Linked DNA regions of Sus scrofa. The protein of the gene in region 3 interacts with the protein of the main gene of each other region in a biochemical or structural test. Links are inferred from orthologs where the notes say so. Each region holds a gene or a part of one and is shown on either strand. Other genes may lie near its edges.

Region 1 (4,120 bases), on a different chromosome or scaffold from region 3:
ATGTTCCATCACTGCTCTGGGTAATTGTGAGCTGTTCTGTACTTGGCACCACAGTTTCATTATTCATCTCCAGCTCCATGAAGTCATAAAATTCTATCTTTCCTATTCTTTTTTTGTTTGTTGTTGTTGGTTTTGGTTTTTTTTTTTGCTTTTTTTAGGGCCACACTTGCAGCATACGGAGGTTCCCAGGCTAGGGGGTGAATGGGAACTACAGCTGCCGGTCTACACTACAGCCACAGCACTACAGGATATGAGCCGTGTCTGTGACCTATACCACAGCTCACAGCAACTCGGGATCCTTAAGCCACTGAGCGAGGCCAGGGATCAAACCCGCATCCTCATGGATACTAGTTGGGTTCATTACTGCTGAGCCACAACATATCTATCCATATCTTTTCTATCTTTCCATGTTCCCTGAAGCTCAGAAACCACAGCTGGCACTTGAATACTTGTTGACCAATGAAGACAGGGAGCCACTTTCCCCCAAATCTAATATGGAGCCCCGTGAAGCCACTGAACCACTCTGGTAGTTTCCAGAATGTACATTTTACTCAGGAATCTATGGGGATAAGGTTAATACTTAACTACTAGGTACTTTAACACATTACAAATTAAGACAAATAGGGATCAATTTTGGAATGGGAATGCAAAATGCACACAAATTTCTCTGTGTGAGCTTGCTGGTAGGCAGCTTTGGACATAATCCTTACTGGCTATGTAAACTTGGGTAAGTTAATGAGGCCCTGAGCCTCAGTGTCAGGATCCACAAGAAGGGGAGGAGTGTAGTATGACAAGGAGTCTCCCTGATGGAACTCGTTAAGAATTGAGAACATTAGCGTCCCCACTGTGGCACAGTGGGTTAAGAATCCAACTGCAGGGCAGGGGCTCAGGTGCAGGTTCCATCCCTGGCCCCCCACAGTGGGTTAAAGGATTGAGTATTGCCCCAGTCGCAGCTGTGGCTTAAATTCAATCCCTGACCCAGGAACTTCCATATGCTGCAGGTGCGGCCTTAAAATAAAACTAAGGAAAAAAAAAAGAATCTAAAACATTAATATGTGTGAGGATTTAATACGGTGCCTGGCACGTAAATACTCACAACATGTTAGCTGCCCTTGTTAAGTTCTCAGAACCTCCCTCCCCCATTTGTCAACACATCTCTGTATTTAGCAGCACTCAGTGGAAAAGTCTGTGGTTAGACTTGAGGTTTCATTTAAGGATCTTACCACACTGCCTGGATGACCAAAATCAGAAAGCAAGGTCAGGCCGAGGGGTGAAATGTAACCAAAGCAAAATGTGAAACAGATCCTTTTCAATTAGCCTCTGCCACTATCTCATCCCCTGGAAGAGAATCTTCTGCTGCCTGGGTTTCTTCATCTGTATAATTAAATGGGAGCCATCCTACCTGCCTGCAAGGCTGTAGTGAGATCTTGGACTTGAAAGCACTTGGTAAAACTCAAGAGCAAAACACACCTGAGTTACTGATTAAGAGCATGGGTTCTGGACAATCTAAAGTTAACACCTCCTGCTCTCAGTGTCCTGTAAAGTAGGAGCAATAAGAACATCTATCTCGAGTGACTGTAGTGAGGAATAAGTGAAACAATATAAAGTGTCTGGGGCCTAGAATATCGGAAGAGCCCAACTACTGAGAATTATTATTTTGGTGACTAACCTATTCACTGGACTCCTCACCCCCCAGGATCAGGTAGTGGCGACACCAACACTGGCCCAGGAACTGTGCTCTGTAACCAGCTGGGGGACCCCGGGCAAGCCGCTGACCCTCTGCAAACTTTAGGTTCCGTAGCCACCAAATGAGAGTATTGCAAGAGAGCATCCCTGGGCTCCTACCAGCTCTTCCTTTCCGCTGTTAAGGTCGTCGGAACAAAGGCCACCCGCTCCCCAGCCTGTCCCCGAGGGGCCACAACTCAAAACTCCTGCTGCTCAACTCCCTGTGCAGAACGACAGCAGGAGCGGCCCGGTCTCAACCCCGGAGAGATGCGTCCACGTTACGCCGCCACCACTCGTTTCATCAGCAACCTGCTTCTGCGGCCGCTCGCTGCCCAAAGTTTCCCGAAGCACGGAGAAACTGGGCCGTGGCTCAACCCGGAGAAGACCTGAGGGGTGAGCGCGCGGAGCCTGGGGGCCCGGCCCCGGGAATCCCAAGCTGCCCACGCGGCCGGGCGGGGAGTGACAGGTGCGACGTGGGCCCGCTGGCTGGCAAGCGGGACCTCGGGCGGCGCGTGTAGGCGCGCAAGGGAAACGGCGGCCGCGCGCTCCCCTCAGGCCGCTCCCCCGCGACGCCCCCGACAAGATCCCATGGTCTGCCGAAACCGAGCGGCCCGGCGGGGCTGAAACCCGCAGCGCCGAGGGCTGGGGACTGCCGGGGCGACCGCGCGTGCCGGTTCTTCCCGCGCGAGACTGGGGTGCCGGGGGATGGGCGTACGCGCCCCCGCGCGCGCCGCCGTAACCCCTTCCTCTCCGCGCGCCCCCGCACTCCCATCCACCCACCCACCCATCACTCACCGTCGATGTCCCCTAGGGTCAGCTCGTCGCCCAGCTCCGTGAGGGTCTCCATGGTCTCCAGACCGCCCAGCTCGCCGCTTTCGTCCATCGCCCGGCTCGGCGCAGAGGACCCCCCTGCCGTCCCGCTCAGGGAGACGCGAGGGCGGTGCCGCCGTCACCACCCATGACACCCAAGAGCTCCCGCCCGGTACTGCCTCACCGGCCGGTGCCAACCGCCGCCATGTTTGCGCTGCGCGGGAGGGCGGGGCGGGATTCCCCCGCCCCAACCCGCGCCCTCTATGGCCCCGCCCCCAGGCCGCGCACCCCCTTGTTTGTTGTCAATGGGACCAGGCCCATCTTGACCAATCGCCTTGCGGAGCGGCGCGTGGGGTGATGGCGCGTCAACGATCAGCAGCTCAGATTTGCATAAGAAGGCTCCTCCCCTGGCGGCCTCTTAGCGAATGCGAAGAGAAGGCTCCGGGTCCTCAGTCCAACCTTCTTCCCCTCGTTTAAAGGAACCGCTCCCTTTTTTGTTGGTTTGGCTCCGCAAGCTACTACCTCTGACTGCTGGGAGTTGAAGGGTTAACAAGTTCCGCCCCCGGCCGCGGGAGGCCCCCGAAGCCAGCCTTAAGCACATTACGTCATCTTCCCAGCTGTTCCCGCCCTCCCCACGATCCCAGCCCGCTGGGGAAGCGGGTGGAATCAAACCTAGACCCCTAGTACTGGAGCACGGAGGAATCCTTAGATCGTTAAAGTCACGTTCCAGCTAAGCCCCTTGCAAAGGCGCTACGAAAGCTCGCGAACCGCCTAAGAGTGGAGCATGTTTTGCAATTCATGCGCCTTTGCACCTGCCGCGACGACGCGCTTACTCCGACAGCCTCACCCAGTCTCACCCCGGTACATCAGAATCCCTTGCAGTCCTTTAAAATAATGCCAGTGCCTGGAACTATCACAGGCCTCCAGAGGTTGGGTCCGGGCATGAGCATCATGCGGGGATTATGAGGCGCAACCCACCCACGGATTCCCACTCTTAAACTTCTCAGTTCTGCAGCTGGTCACGATATAAACAAATGTGCACGTTTCTAGGAATTTATAAATAAGGAAGACAAATATGAGTGTTTAAAAAATTTGCAAGTTTGTGTGTTCAAAGGCGTTCATCAGAGTCTTCTGTAAATTGAGAAAAATTGGGAAGCCCAATAACGACCTGCTGAATAAATTACATCCACACAATGTAATTATCATGGCATCATTAAACATTACATACATGAATGTCTATCTGTTGACAACGACTTTCACAGTATTAAAAGGGGAAAGTATGTTTACTGCTGGTCTGTGAGAGGCAGCTGTTGCTTGGTGGTCAAGACAGACTTCACAGGCCCTGTGAAGGCAGGCATACGGGTCCATTTATGAACGAGTGACTCTGAGCTAAATAAACGCCCTAAGCTTCAGTTTTGTCATCTCTAACATGGGAATAGTGTCCCTCATAGTTGTGAGGAAAGTGGAATCACACAATTCAACCAATCACATTGCACATTCATTTGACAATATTTATTGAACATCTCTGGGGCAAGCAAAGAGACAATTCCTGCCCTCTGAGAGCCTCTGGTCCGGTAAAGAAAAC
Region 2 (4,199 bases), on a different chromosome or scaffold from region 3:
GTTTCTTCAGGAAACAGGGCCCAGCAGAAAAAAATCGGCTCGCACACCGAGTCCTCTCTCTTCTGCCCCTTTTGTCAGAGACTTGATGCACCCACGCACGGCATGTTGGTCCCCAATGTGCTGAGTTCAGCAGACGGTCTTGGCGCCAAGTCATCCCCAGGACCGCCCAGGAACCCAGTGGAATTCGGATGAAATTAAATAAGGAAGGACCAGCCCTCGCGAGCCCCCTTCCTTGGAGTTATTGCATGTCTCCTTGCAAGAAGGAGCCTGGAGTCCCGGTGGGTTGTGAAGATCACCTCCCGTGGCCTTTCAGCAGCTGGGAGAGGTCGTGATGGGGCTCTGAAGGTAGCTCAACGCACTGTTCGTGGGGTGACGGGGATGGAGACGGGGAAGTTGAAGACGGTGGTGGTGGAGGCGCCTCGGTCCAGCACGGCCATGGCCGGGCTCCCAGCCTCCGCCGAGCAGTGCGGGGCCAGGACCTGGGACTCAAACTGCAGCAGCTGGCCCATGAAGCTGAAGTTGGGGGAGATGATGCTCCTCCTCTGCTTCACAAACTCAAAGGCCTCGTCCAGCTTGACTCGGTTAGTCCTCATGAGGTAAGCGAGGCAGATGGTGGCCGATCGGGAAATGCCCGCCTGGCAGTGGACAAACACCCTTCCGCCGGCATTCTTGATGGAATCTGGAAAACAAAGGGCAGCGGGTTACTTGAGAGCCCAGGAGAACAACCCCAACCCCAGGGAGAGGGTGTCTAAGAGATGCTGTGTGTGTCCTGTCCAGAGGTGGTCACTATCACCTCATGCCATCACATGGGCCCTGTTCCTGGAGGCGGATGGGGGCACTGCGCAAGAGGAACAGGGCATGTAAACCCAGACCAGGGCATGTGAGCAGACCCATGTGGGACAAATTAAGTCAACATTCTGAGATTCGGTTTGCTAACCTGTAAAGTGGGACATCAAATCTATGCTTCATAGGGATGCCACCCACACCTGACTGAGAGTAATGTCTACAGCTTAAAAGAATGTCCCTCAAGTTCTTGCTGTAGAGTTTAGGCTCGGTGGCTCAAACTAAAACAGGGAGGCACAGGTCCCAGGCATCTTGTTCCACTTATTTACCGATGAAATCGATTGCCTCATTGAACCAGGAGCTGATGTCCGCCTTGTGGTTGTCCTCAACGGGGATGCTCTTGTACTGGTAGTGACCCTCAAAATGGTTGGGACAGTTGGCCGAGACGTTGATCAAGGCAGTGATACCCAAGGCATCCAGCATGTCCTTGCGAGAAGCATGGTAGGCACTCCCCAGGTAGAGAAAGGGTAGGATCTCCACTGGGCCACCCTGAAATCCAGAAACATCCAACACTTGTCAAGCCTTGTTCAATGGCAATGCTCATGCCCACACCCACAAAAACTCCCTGAACAAGTCAGTTTCAATACTGGGTGACCTTCGCAGCATCTTGCTGGTATAGAAAATAGGGGACTAAGCCCAGTTGCTTGGGCAGGGCCAACAAAGTTCACTTCTGTAGTGCCAACAATTAGAGACTCAGCTCCATCATACCACTTAACCACGGGATAAATATCCCCGTGTCCCCCGTTATAAATAAAGCTGCATGTCACTTTCTATATTCTCCTACATTTACCAGCTGTTCCTTCTCCCCTCTGGTAAGGCCCCCTACTAACCTGATCGTAGAGTGGAGTGCTGCAAGAACTGCACCCTGATTCGGTGCTGTCAGGGACGCTAGTACTCAGGGGAAGGCTGAGCCCCATGGGGGTCGACTGTTTGCTGCAGAGCTCCGGGCAGGAAACAGAAAAAGCTTCATATCCTCCTGGGAATACAAAGAGACATTTTTTTTCCCATTAGTACCGCCGACACAGGGCACCCTTCAAACAACTCCGCTATCCAACGGGACTGGAAGTTTACCCCGGAGAGGCCCAGGCGAGTCTTTGTTCACAGACCAAACAAAGCCAACAAGTCCCCAGAATGCGGATCGAGCGCCCAGGCGCTCCAGGTGGGGCAGTCCCCTAGATGCTGAGAGCCGGGGGTCCCCGGGCTAGGCGACAGGGGGCGTGCGGCCCGCCCCTGAGCGTCCCCGAGGGCGTACCTTTGAGCAAGAAGATTTGCGCGCCGCGCGCCTCGCGGCAGAGCGCTCCGGCGGCCAGAGCCAGGGTGCCGTCGCGTTTGGCGCACTCCAAGGCAGCGCTGCGCTCGTCCAGCAGCACCACGGCGTGGTAGGCGCCGGCCAGCAGGCGGCCGCGCAGCTCCGCGTTGGGCACGATGTGCTCCAGGCCCATGGCGCCCTTGGCCCGGCGCCGCACGATGGTACTGAAGCGCACGTTGACGGAGCCGGCGATGTGGCCGGCGTTGAAAGCGAAGAAGGAGCGACAGTCCAACAGCAGACACTGCGCCGCGCGCTCCCGCAGCAGCGTCCTCAGGCCTCCGGCGTCCAGGGATCCCACTTCCATGACCATGGCCGGCCCCAGCGCCCCCAGCGTGAAGTCTTCTTGTGCTCTTTGTCCTCGGAAGCCAAGGGGAGGGCGACGGCTTTCGAGGAAAAGCCTGACCCTCGTTTTCTTTAAGCCAAACTCCAAACTGCCTCTGGGCTGAGCGAAGGGTCTTCGTGCGGGTCTCTCGACCGCCTCGGGTTCCTTACTGCTCCCCTGCCTGCCCCTCCAACCCGCGTAGAACCTACAACCCCAACGTCCTTCACGGCGAGTCAGACCCGCGGGAAGCGCGCTTATATGTGGCCTCTCGGCGGGCGGGGCGGGGAGGGGCGCGCGGAGGCGCGCGCGCGCGCGCGCGCGCAAGGGGAGGGGGTTGTTTGTTTGAATGACGGTCACGTGACCGGTGTGGTGACGTCACCCGCCCTGCCGGGCTTGGCGCCGGCCGAGCCAAAGGGGAAGACGTCATCGGCCTCTGAGTGGGGTCCGCTGGCTGCGCTCTGGCTCGGGTCCCATCCCCCGCCGGGCCGTCCGGCCTGCGCCTGGCGCGTCCCCGGGGAGCTGGCCCGAGCTACTCTCCGGGACCGGCAGGGAGGAGAGAGGAAGGGCGCGCGAGCAGCTGAAGGCTGACCTCGGTGTTGAGAGCGGCTGGGAGATCAGGCCGCATGCCACCGGCCTCCGCCTCCCTTCCCCCCGCCCTGTGCCCCTTCCCCGCGCCCCCTCCGCCGCAGAGCAGAACGGAAAGGGGTTTCCTGCGTTTTTGCAGAGATGTGGGCCCCTTTCTCTCATTTCCTCATCCCCAACAGGCGAGGAAACAGGTTCTCAAGGAGAGGCTATTTACTTGCCCAGCATCACGCTGCTGGGGGTCGAGGGACAGAGAGGAGCCTGAAATGAAGGTTGGAGGAAAATTAACGAGTTTGTCCAGCCAAGAACAACCGGGGTGAGTTGGGGTGGAGGTGTTCAGGGAAATATTTTCCTACTCCCCAGACTACTCTCCTGTTACTTAAAAATAAAATGTACATTTAACAAGTAAAATGCCTTCCAGTCAAACCCAAGAGGAAAAAGGTCTTTCTCAGTCATGTGCTTGCCCAGACCATTGTGAACTAAGAAAGGTTAGAAGATTTCAGAGGGCTGAAATCCTGGTCGGGGGGGTCGTAAAGTCAGGTCGAGGACTGCGGGGTTCCGTGTTAAGGGAGGCGGACCCCCCCCCCAGCGCGGCTCGACAGCGCCCTCCCGAGGCCGCCAGACATGTTTTGGGTCACGTTTACTTAAAGACAGTTGTAGCCACTCCATCTCTTTATTCCCCAAATGTGCACTGATTGAGCACCTAACTCTGCCCTGGGCTGGGAGCCTCCAGCTGGGAACAGGAGTCAGGAACAGGAGCCGGGCCCAGCCCCCACGCCCTGGTTCTCGCCACTAATATGGGCTTAACTCGAAATCCCCATCCTGGGTGCTCTAAGAGGATTACCAGGACCTGGACGCGCATTTGGGGAGACCCGCATGCGGTTACCCTCGTCCTGGGCTACCGAGTGACAACCCCCACCCCCCACCTCAGGCGGCAGAGCCTCCTTCGGGCGGCACCGATGTGCTAGGTACACAAACATAAACATTGCGCCACCGGGCTGGATTGCCTGGTCAGGAACATTCTGTGGTTTCCTACCCCTCCTCCCGGGGAGGTGGGGGCGGGGATTTCACGGCCACCCTATGTCGTTGATCGCGGATTGTATCACCGGGGGAAACTTCTGCATTTGTCTCGCTTAGCTTGTG
Region 3 (4,187 bases):
TTAAGGCAGGTTTTCTTTTACTGTAAGTTATTGCCTCTAAGTGATTTGCTCTGTCTTCTTTGGGGAGGGGGTGCCTGTAGTTTGACTTTGTGGTGTTTGTTCTCTTGTACATTTTCTTCTTAAAGAATTTCATCACCAGCTTTTTCTCATAGTCGTCTCCTATCCTGCTGACTTGCTCTTCTACACTGTTAAGTCTGCTTATTACAGCTCCAACCATTGCTTTTACTTTGGCTATTGTGGTTTTAATTTCATGGTACCCTCTATTTATCTTGGCCTGTCCTTTAAAAGATGCAAGTTCTTCTTTTAATCAAGAATCAGGGAGTTCCTGTCATGGCTCAGTGGTTAACAAATCTGACTAGGAACCCTGAGGTTGAGGGTTTGATCCCTGGCCTTGCTCAGTGGGTTAAGGATCCTGCATTGCTGTGGCTTTGGCATAGGCCGGTGGCTACAGCTCTGATTAGACCCCTAGCCTGGGAACCTCCACATGCCGTGGGAAGTGGCCCTAGAAAAGGCAAAAAGACAAAAAAAAAAAAAAAAAAAAAAAAGGAATAAGAATCAGGTGTTGGGTTCTACTTTATGGACTAAACATATTTCAAAAGAGTACTTTTTGGCTGTAGCCCTTTATTTATTTTCTCATATGCCACATGTTTTTTTTTTTCCCCAGAGGATTTTTTTCTCTTTTGCTTATTCATCTTCAAGACTGTCTAGTTGATCTTTGTTGATGACTGGAAGTCCAGGCTTTCTGGATCACAGTGTCAGACAATCAGGACGCAGAATTTCCCACCCTTAGTCCCCTTTCCAAGACGACGCAGGTGACTCCAATGAAGTGGCTCAGAAGCAAGGGCTGGATCATCTTCTGTCTCATTGTCTTAGCTGTTTATCGAATTCACCTGCTTCAAGATTCTGCCTTTTATTTTCAACCTCTGGTGTTTGTGACTATTAAAGTTACAGTTGATTTATGTTGTGTTCATTTCTGCTATACAGCAAAGTGATTCAGTTATACATATATACATTCTTTTCCATTTTTGTGACAATCTCTGAACCTCAGTGCGTCTAACTCGTTTTCTCTAGATGTTAATACTTGTTTTTTTCGCGTTTCTACCTGGGTAAGATCCTGCCCATCTGTACCAACTTGGGTGCCAGTCTCTGAATCTCAGTGTTTTTCTCAGGGTCTCAACCCACTACTCCCGAACCCCTTACTCTGCTCTCCTTTTCTTCGCAGTACTTCGCAGACAACTTGAGTCTTCCTTCAGATCCATCGACCGTCCATCCATCATCTCCTGGAGGGTAGCTTCGAGGAGGGTGGACGCGCAGGAACGCGGTGACACTTGTTGAACGAGCCTCTGCCGGAGCGGGCCGCGTCCGGGCTTCTTGTCTCCGCCTCCCACTCTGGGTTTCACACTTTCTCAGGATGCAAATATCTCTCTCGGTCTCGGTCACCCTTCCGGCTTCTGTGCGGGTCTCGAGGCCTCTAATCTGTATGGGCCCCGGACTCTCACAAACCTGGCTCGGCGCGCGGGGGCGGGGGGAATCCGCCCCGGTCGCGCTCCTACTCGGAGGGAGCCGCCCGGAGCTTCTCTCGGCCCGCTGCCCCGCCCGTTCGGCCCCGCAAGCTCGCCCCGCCTCGGAGTCCTCAGCGTTTCCCCGCCGCCTCCCGCGAGCGCACGTGACCGCGCCCCGCCCCGCCGCTGCAGTGCTCCGCCCCCAACGCGCCTCTTCCGCCGGCCGCGCAGCCCTGCCCCCAGGCCGCGGGAGCCAATCCGCGCTCACGCCTACGGCCCTGCCCCGGCGCCCTCCTCGGCGCGCGCCCCTCCCTCCGCCCGCCGGCCCGCCCGTCAGTCAGTCAGGCGGGCAGTCGGTACGAGCGGTCGGTGGCTATCTACCTCTCCCGAGCGGGTCCCTCACTGATTCTTCCCGGCCAGCGGCGGCGGCTGCAGCGGCTGGGGCGCGGTCTCCCCGTTGGTGCAGCGTGGGCCGAGCAGCGGCCGCGGAGCATCGAGCCCAGTGCGGCGGCGGCGGCGGCGGCCCGGCAGCCAACATGGCGGCGGCGGCGGCGGGCGCGGGCCCCGAGATGGTCCGCGGGCAGGTGTTCGACGTGGGGCCGCGCTACACCAACCTCTCCTACATCGGCGAGGGCGCCTACGGCATGGTGTGGTGAGTGTCCATGCCCCGCGGCCTGGCCGCGCCCGCCGCCCTCCCCTCCCCCCCAGCCGGGCTCACCGCTGCTGCCCCGCTTGCTCTCCGGACCCCGACCCTGACCCCGACCCCGGACGCGGACCCAGCCCCTACCCCAACCCGGACCTCCGACCTCCGACCCAGGCCCGCTGCGCCGCCAACCGCAGCGGGGCCTCGGTCGGGGCGGGGCTGGTCGGGCTGGGGCGTTGCTCGGCGCGGGGAGGGGGCGGGGGGTGGACACTGGATCCAGGACCCCGGCCCGGGAACCTAGGCCCCCTCCGCCCCCCCCGCCCCCCTCCCCGGCCTGGGTGTGCGCCGCGCGGCCTGCTCTTCGCGCCGGGGTGGGAAGCCGCGAATTCCTTCAGATGCTGGCGGCGGCGGCCGCGGCGTGTGTGCCCCGCCCCGAAATGACCGTCTGTTATTTTCCTTCCCTCGCCTGCGTTTTCCACGCACGGCTTTCATCAGATACCTTCGGTGGTGCCAGCGGTGCTCTCCTGCGCAGGCTTTTGAAAAAGCATTAGTGGCGTCAATGTTTGTTTTGGCATATTTCATTCTTGATGAAGTTTTTAAATGGGTTTTAATATCGTACTGTCCGCGTTTTAGGAAAGATAAACCAGCATCCCTCTCTTGATTTATTAAGGAGTCATTTGGAGTTGGGCCTAAATTGGCTTCTTTTTCCTTTATCTCGCTTGAACTCTATTACCAGCATAAAGGCATCCAGACGTTTTAGCACAATTATTGTGGACTTTTACTGTCAATGCTTTAGTGGTCAATATGTATGCAGTCCTGGTGGAGTTCTTGCAGTGTCACATGCTGGTTCCCTCGTCTTGATGCAGATCCCTCAGAAACGTTTGTGGAGTGGAGGTGACGGTGTTTTTTTTTCGTTTTTTTTTTTTTTTTAAATTAGTACTAACTAGCTGTCTTGTGCTGATGAAGACTTGTGCAGGTGTGGACTCCCTTATACCTAAATCTTGTGAGTGTCTTTTGTGTTGAACGAAGGAAAAAAACTAATACTGAATGCTGCGTGGCAGGTACTGTGCTAGATATATTATCTCATTTTATTTGAATAGTCAGCTGGTGGGAGGGAAGGGCTGTGAGATCTTTCAGATGAGAAAGTATTTCTGGTAAAGCCAATTCCTAAGGTCATTCAACTAAAGAGTCAGACTTGAGATTGTAGACTGAGAATTTAACTTCAGTTGCTGCAGCTCTTTTCATTACATCCTATTTTTCTTAAATAATGTTATTAATAATTTTAGAATTCTAGTCTGTCTTACTCATAAGCAAATCTATTTCAGAAATATATTCAACTTTAAATGATCTTGATTTCAGAAAGGCCATAGAGGGCATGATTTACCAGTTACATTAGCTAGGTTCAAAGACTACATAAACTTTAAAAAAAAAGAAAAAGACTTTCATTGAATCTTGAATATTTTCATTCTTTTCAAGATCAAAATGCTTCAAAGTATACAGCTGAGAATTAACGTGAATTCAGAGGCTAAGGAGCCAAAAGCGAAATTAAATTAGTTGAGGCCTAAAAGAAATGCAGTCCTAGAATGCAATGGAGAGAAAGTAATGCCCCACAGCATCACTTGTGTCCTACATCTGATTGCTGTTGTATCTGCTGGTAAGTGTGCCAGTAAAGGTCTCTATGAAGTGTTCAGAATTGCCTGTCATGTCCTTCAGCCCTTCCAAAGAAGATAAATTAGAACCTAAGATAGACTCTGAAAAGAACTAGTTTTGGAGTTCCCATCGTGGCTCAGTGGTTAACAAATCTGACTAGGAACCATGAAGTTGTGGGTTCGATCCCTGGCCTTGCTCAGTGGGTTAAGGATCCGGCATTGCTGTGAGCTGTAGTGCAGGTTGCAGACGTGGCTCGGAATCTGCATTGCTGTGGCTCTGGCATAGGCCAGGGGCTACAGCTCTGATTGGACCCCTAGCCTGGGAACCTCCATATGCTGCGGAAGCAGCCCAAGAAATGGCAAAAAGACAAAAAAAAAAACAAAAACCAAAAA
Region 4 (3,220 bases), on a different chromosome or scaffold from region 3:
GCGCCCGCGCCCCCTACCCGGCCACACCCTGTTGCTGCGGCAGACACGACCCCGCCCCCCGCAGCACCCCACCCGCCCCCGGCGCTCGGCCCGCCCCTTTCCCGGCAGGCCCTGCTCCGGCCCGCAGCTCGCAAGTTCCCCGCCCACCCCTGCGGCCGAGCGAGCCACGAGTGGGACTGGGAGCCCCGCCTCACGCCCCTCCCCACGCTCCGCCCCAGCGCGCGGGACGTGACCTTCGTGTGTCCCGCACCCCGGGGTGAGAGATTGACTCATCTCGGATTTGCCCCGCAGAAACTAACTGGGAATACCGCAGACTGGGCAACGAACGACAGCATCCGGTCACCGGATGCTGGGTTCCGAGCCTCGAGTCTCGGGGCGGGAGCCCAGGGCCCCCGGGAGGAGAGCCCTCTGGGGATGTGGTCGTGGCTCCTCCCGCCCGGCCCTGGAGCCTGAAGTCTATGAGGAGTGGGCATCACCGCTTGCAGAGACACTCACATGACTGTTGACAGTAAATCAAGTTTATTTGTGTTCACAGAACATACTGGGCGACCCCACAGCCGCCCTCTGACAGCCCACTCACCCCCGCAGCCACCCCTTGGGGGCAACTTCAAGGAGATCGAAGGCCAAGGACAATATTTCCACGGTCCCCCGAAGCCTCACATAGTAGAGCCGAGAGTTCAGATGCTGGAGGACCTAAAGTGTCACCCGCTAAACCTAGGACCCACCACCGTCTTCGATTCCCAGCCCGGACCCGAGTTTTCTCCATCCCTCTCCCACCCTCCCTCAGTTCTGGTGCTTGCCTCCACCAATCCCACAGAACTCAATAAATACCCAGAGATCTGCACTTGCAGCAGGGAGCACATCTCGCTCCGCAGCATAAGTTAAAATAAATATTAGGTGCCCCCCTCCATCACCTAGGGGGACATACATAAATACATATAAATATTATTAGGAGCAATGAGAAATAAATTAACAACAGTCTTCCTCCCCATCCGGCCCAGCCCCAGCGTGTCGGTGCCTGTCTCTCCCAGGCTCCCAGGGCGGGCGTCTCCGCTGTAGTGTTCTGAGTGTGAGTTGCCTCAGGAGTCCCAGTTTGGGATACGCTCTTGCGCACCAGGTACACCCGGTGTTTCCTTGTGTTTTCAGATTCTTTTGGGGGTGTGGGCAGTCAGGGTTAGAAAGCGGCTGGGTGTTGCTGGAGAAAAGTGCTGAGGTCCAAAGCGTAGTCCGAGGGCTCCGAGGTCAGATTAAGGGCTCAAGAACTGGGGGCGCAGCGGTGGGCGCGGGGGATGGGGCGCTGGGGGTGTCTTCAGGGGCCAGGGGTGCCGACACACCCTCTTCAGCCATCAGGATCTGACAGAAGACGATGGTAAGCAGGAGAAAGAGTAGCTTTTTGGCAGGGTTCGGATCCTCGACTGGCAGCTGGCGCCGGACCTGAGGGGAGATGACAAAAGGGGGTTAGGTCAGGGCCCCGGCATCCAGTGGTTTACCCTGCTCTTCCCCCGGGCTGTCCGCTTCGCCGACACTCACCACTCGTGGGTAGAGGACCCGACGGCTGCGCTTTCGGAGCCCGCGGGAGGCGCTGGGGCGCGCGGCGGGGGCCACCGCGGGCTCCGGGAGAGGATCGAAGGTGAATATCTCGGGACCAGAGCCTCGCCGGGGCACCGGGCTGGTGGAGGGGGCCGGGGTCGGGGCCCGCAGGATGGTCATGGTAGGGAGAGAGCTGCGAGAGTGACACATTGTGCGCCGAGCTGAACAGAAGGACGACTGGCCCCACAGCCCCGCCGCGCCAGTTATGTACTCGAGCATGGGCGGGCCCTTACTCAACTCCACCCGCGGCTGAGAGCGGTTGGCCGGGCGGCTGGAAATTCCGACGGTTAAGCAAAGGGAGGGGGTGGAGAGTTGGCCAGGGTCAAGGAAGGCCTCAAGTGTGTGTTGTGAGTTGTGAGTGGAGGCGGGTGAAATCCCGGGCTGTGGACACATGTGGGGACATGTAGCAGCTGGAGAGGTGCCCACAGACTGTTTGAGATGGTTCAGCCACAAGCCCCATCTCTGGGGAGGCAGGAAGGCTTAAATAAGGAAGTCTGGCCATTCTGCTACAATATTGACCCAACAAAAGAACCACAGTTACACATGCACATTCACACGTCTGTGGGGATTAAGAGGCAAGTCACTACAGAAATAGCCAAAAAGCCTAAGGGAAACCAATACACTGGCACACACACACCACACTGCAGAGGCAGAAAAATTTCTCCTTTGGCTGGTCTAATAATTAAATTGACATAGGATAGATTAACAAGAGAAAACAAATTTAATTGCATGCTTACAGGAGCCCATGAAGACTTGAGATTCAAAGGCAGTCATTCAGTTGAGGTTTATAAACCATCCAGAGCTAAGGAATGAGATAGGGACCTGGGGCTTGAAGGGGAGGTAGGTAATTCACAGGAGGATGTTTGCTAATTAGATGTTTGCCCTGCCAAGCAGGTAAATCTTGCAGATGAAAGCTATCTCTCCCTGGGTCAGGCCCCCTACTTAAGTTATTTAGGCAGTTAAGGGAGAGGTAAAAAGCTTTTCCAGAGTCTGTTGATCTTGATTGCCTTCTGCTCAAAATAATCCGCATGCTCCAAAGAGGCACATTTTGGGGTGACATATTCTGCTACCCTTCAATATACACACAACACACACACGCATACACAGAACAAAGGTGCAGACACCACACAGGGGCAACCCAGCAATGTGCACAAATGTTCATACATGGCTGGAGCAGAGGACACAAAATACAAAGGCAAGAAGTTAGTAGCCACCCGGATTTAAGTTTATGTGAGGAACATTTAAACTGCGAGACATTTTGCAAATGTGGTAATGACAATAACTCGAGAACTGACACATTTTCTTTAACTGCCTTAGAAATAGCTGTTCACGGACACAGAATATAACATCTTTTGAGCATTCATGGAGCCAGGCTTCCTGTTAAATGGTACTGTTGAGTACCAAGGGGAGTTTCCTCATGTGTGCTGGGGAGCCGGGCATGCCAGATGCCAGGAGAACTACTGTTCATGTCTGTCTAATCAATCAGGCGAGGCTTCAGGGAATAATGGCATTTGAAAGGACCTTGAACAGTGGGGGGGATACCACAGAGTCAGATGTGGAAGATGACTGAGAAAGAGAATGGAATCAGCAAAGGCCTTGAGCGGAAAAGTACAGGATGTGTTTGGGGAAT

The links. The genes of interacting proteins can lie anywhere in the genome.
Region 1: of the proteins of MAPK1 (region 3) and SREBF2, one has a biochemical effect on the other in vitro, tested with the Homo sapiens proteins (2 studies listed by BioGRID). The link is inferred for Sus scrofa from reciprocal best matches to the Homo sapiens genes MAPK1 and SREBF2.
Region 2: of the proteins of MAPK1 (region 3) and DUSP1, one has a biochemical effect on the other in vitro, tested with the Homo sapiens proteins (2 studies listed by BioGRID and IntAct). The link is inferred for Sus scrofa from reciprocal best matches to the Homo sapiens genes MAPK1 and DUSP1.
Region 4: of the proteins of MAPK1 (region 3) and IER3, one has a biochemical effect on the other in vitro, tested with the Homo sapiens proteins (2 studies listed by BioGRID and IntAct). The link is inferred for Sus scrofa from reciprocal best matches to the Homo sapiens genes MAPK1 and IER3.

The regions. Positions count from the first base shown.
Region 1 is NC_010447.5:6,781,925-6,786,044, forward strand, and holds the start of SREBF2 (sterol regulatory element-binding protein 2), read right to left. Parts: upstream 2,801-4,120; 5' UTR 2,609-2,800; coding exon 2,521-2,608; intron 2,418-2,520; exon of another isoform or gene 1,846-2,417; intron 1-1,845.
Region 2 is NC_010458.4:51,456,525-51,460,723, reverse strand, and holds the start of DUSP1 (dual specificity protein phosphatase 1), read right to left. Parts: upstream 2,801-4,199; 5' UTR 2,463-2,800; coding exon 2,096-2,462; intron 1,820-2,095; coding exon 1,674-1,819; intron 1,333-1,673; coding exon 1,113-1,332; intron 680-1,112; coding exon 351-679; coding exon of another isoform or gene 310-350; 3' UTR 1-309. UniProt on the Homo sapiens protein: Dual specificity phosphatase that dephosphorylates MAP kinase MAPK1/ERK2 on both 'Thr-183' and 'Tyr-185', regulating its activity during the meiotic cell cycle.
Region 3 is NC_010456.5:50,081,692-50,085,878, forward strand, and holds the start of MAPK1 (mitogen-activated protein kinase 1), read left to right. Parts: upstream 1-1,387; 5' UTR 1,388-1,411; coding exon 1,412-2,154; intron 2,155-4,187. UniProt on the Homo sapiens protein: Serine/threonine kinase which acts as an essential component of the MAP kinase signal transduction pathway. MAPK1/ERK2 and MAPK3/ERK1 are the 2 MAPKs which play an important role in the MAPK/ERK cascade.
Region 4 is NC_010449.5:23,265,060-23,268,279, forward strand, and holds IER3 (radiation-inducible immediate-early gene IEX-1), read right to left. Parts: upstream 1,847-3,220; 5' UTR 1,810-1,846; coding exon 1,531-1,809; intron 1,435-1,530; coding exon 1,243-1,434; 3' UTR 501-1,242; downstream 1-500. UniProt on the Homo sapiens protein: May play a role in the ERK signaling pathway by inhibiting the dephosphorylation of ERK by phosphatase PP2A-PPP2R5C holoenzyme. Also acts as an ERK downstream effector mediating survival.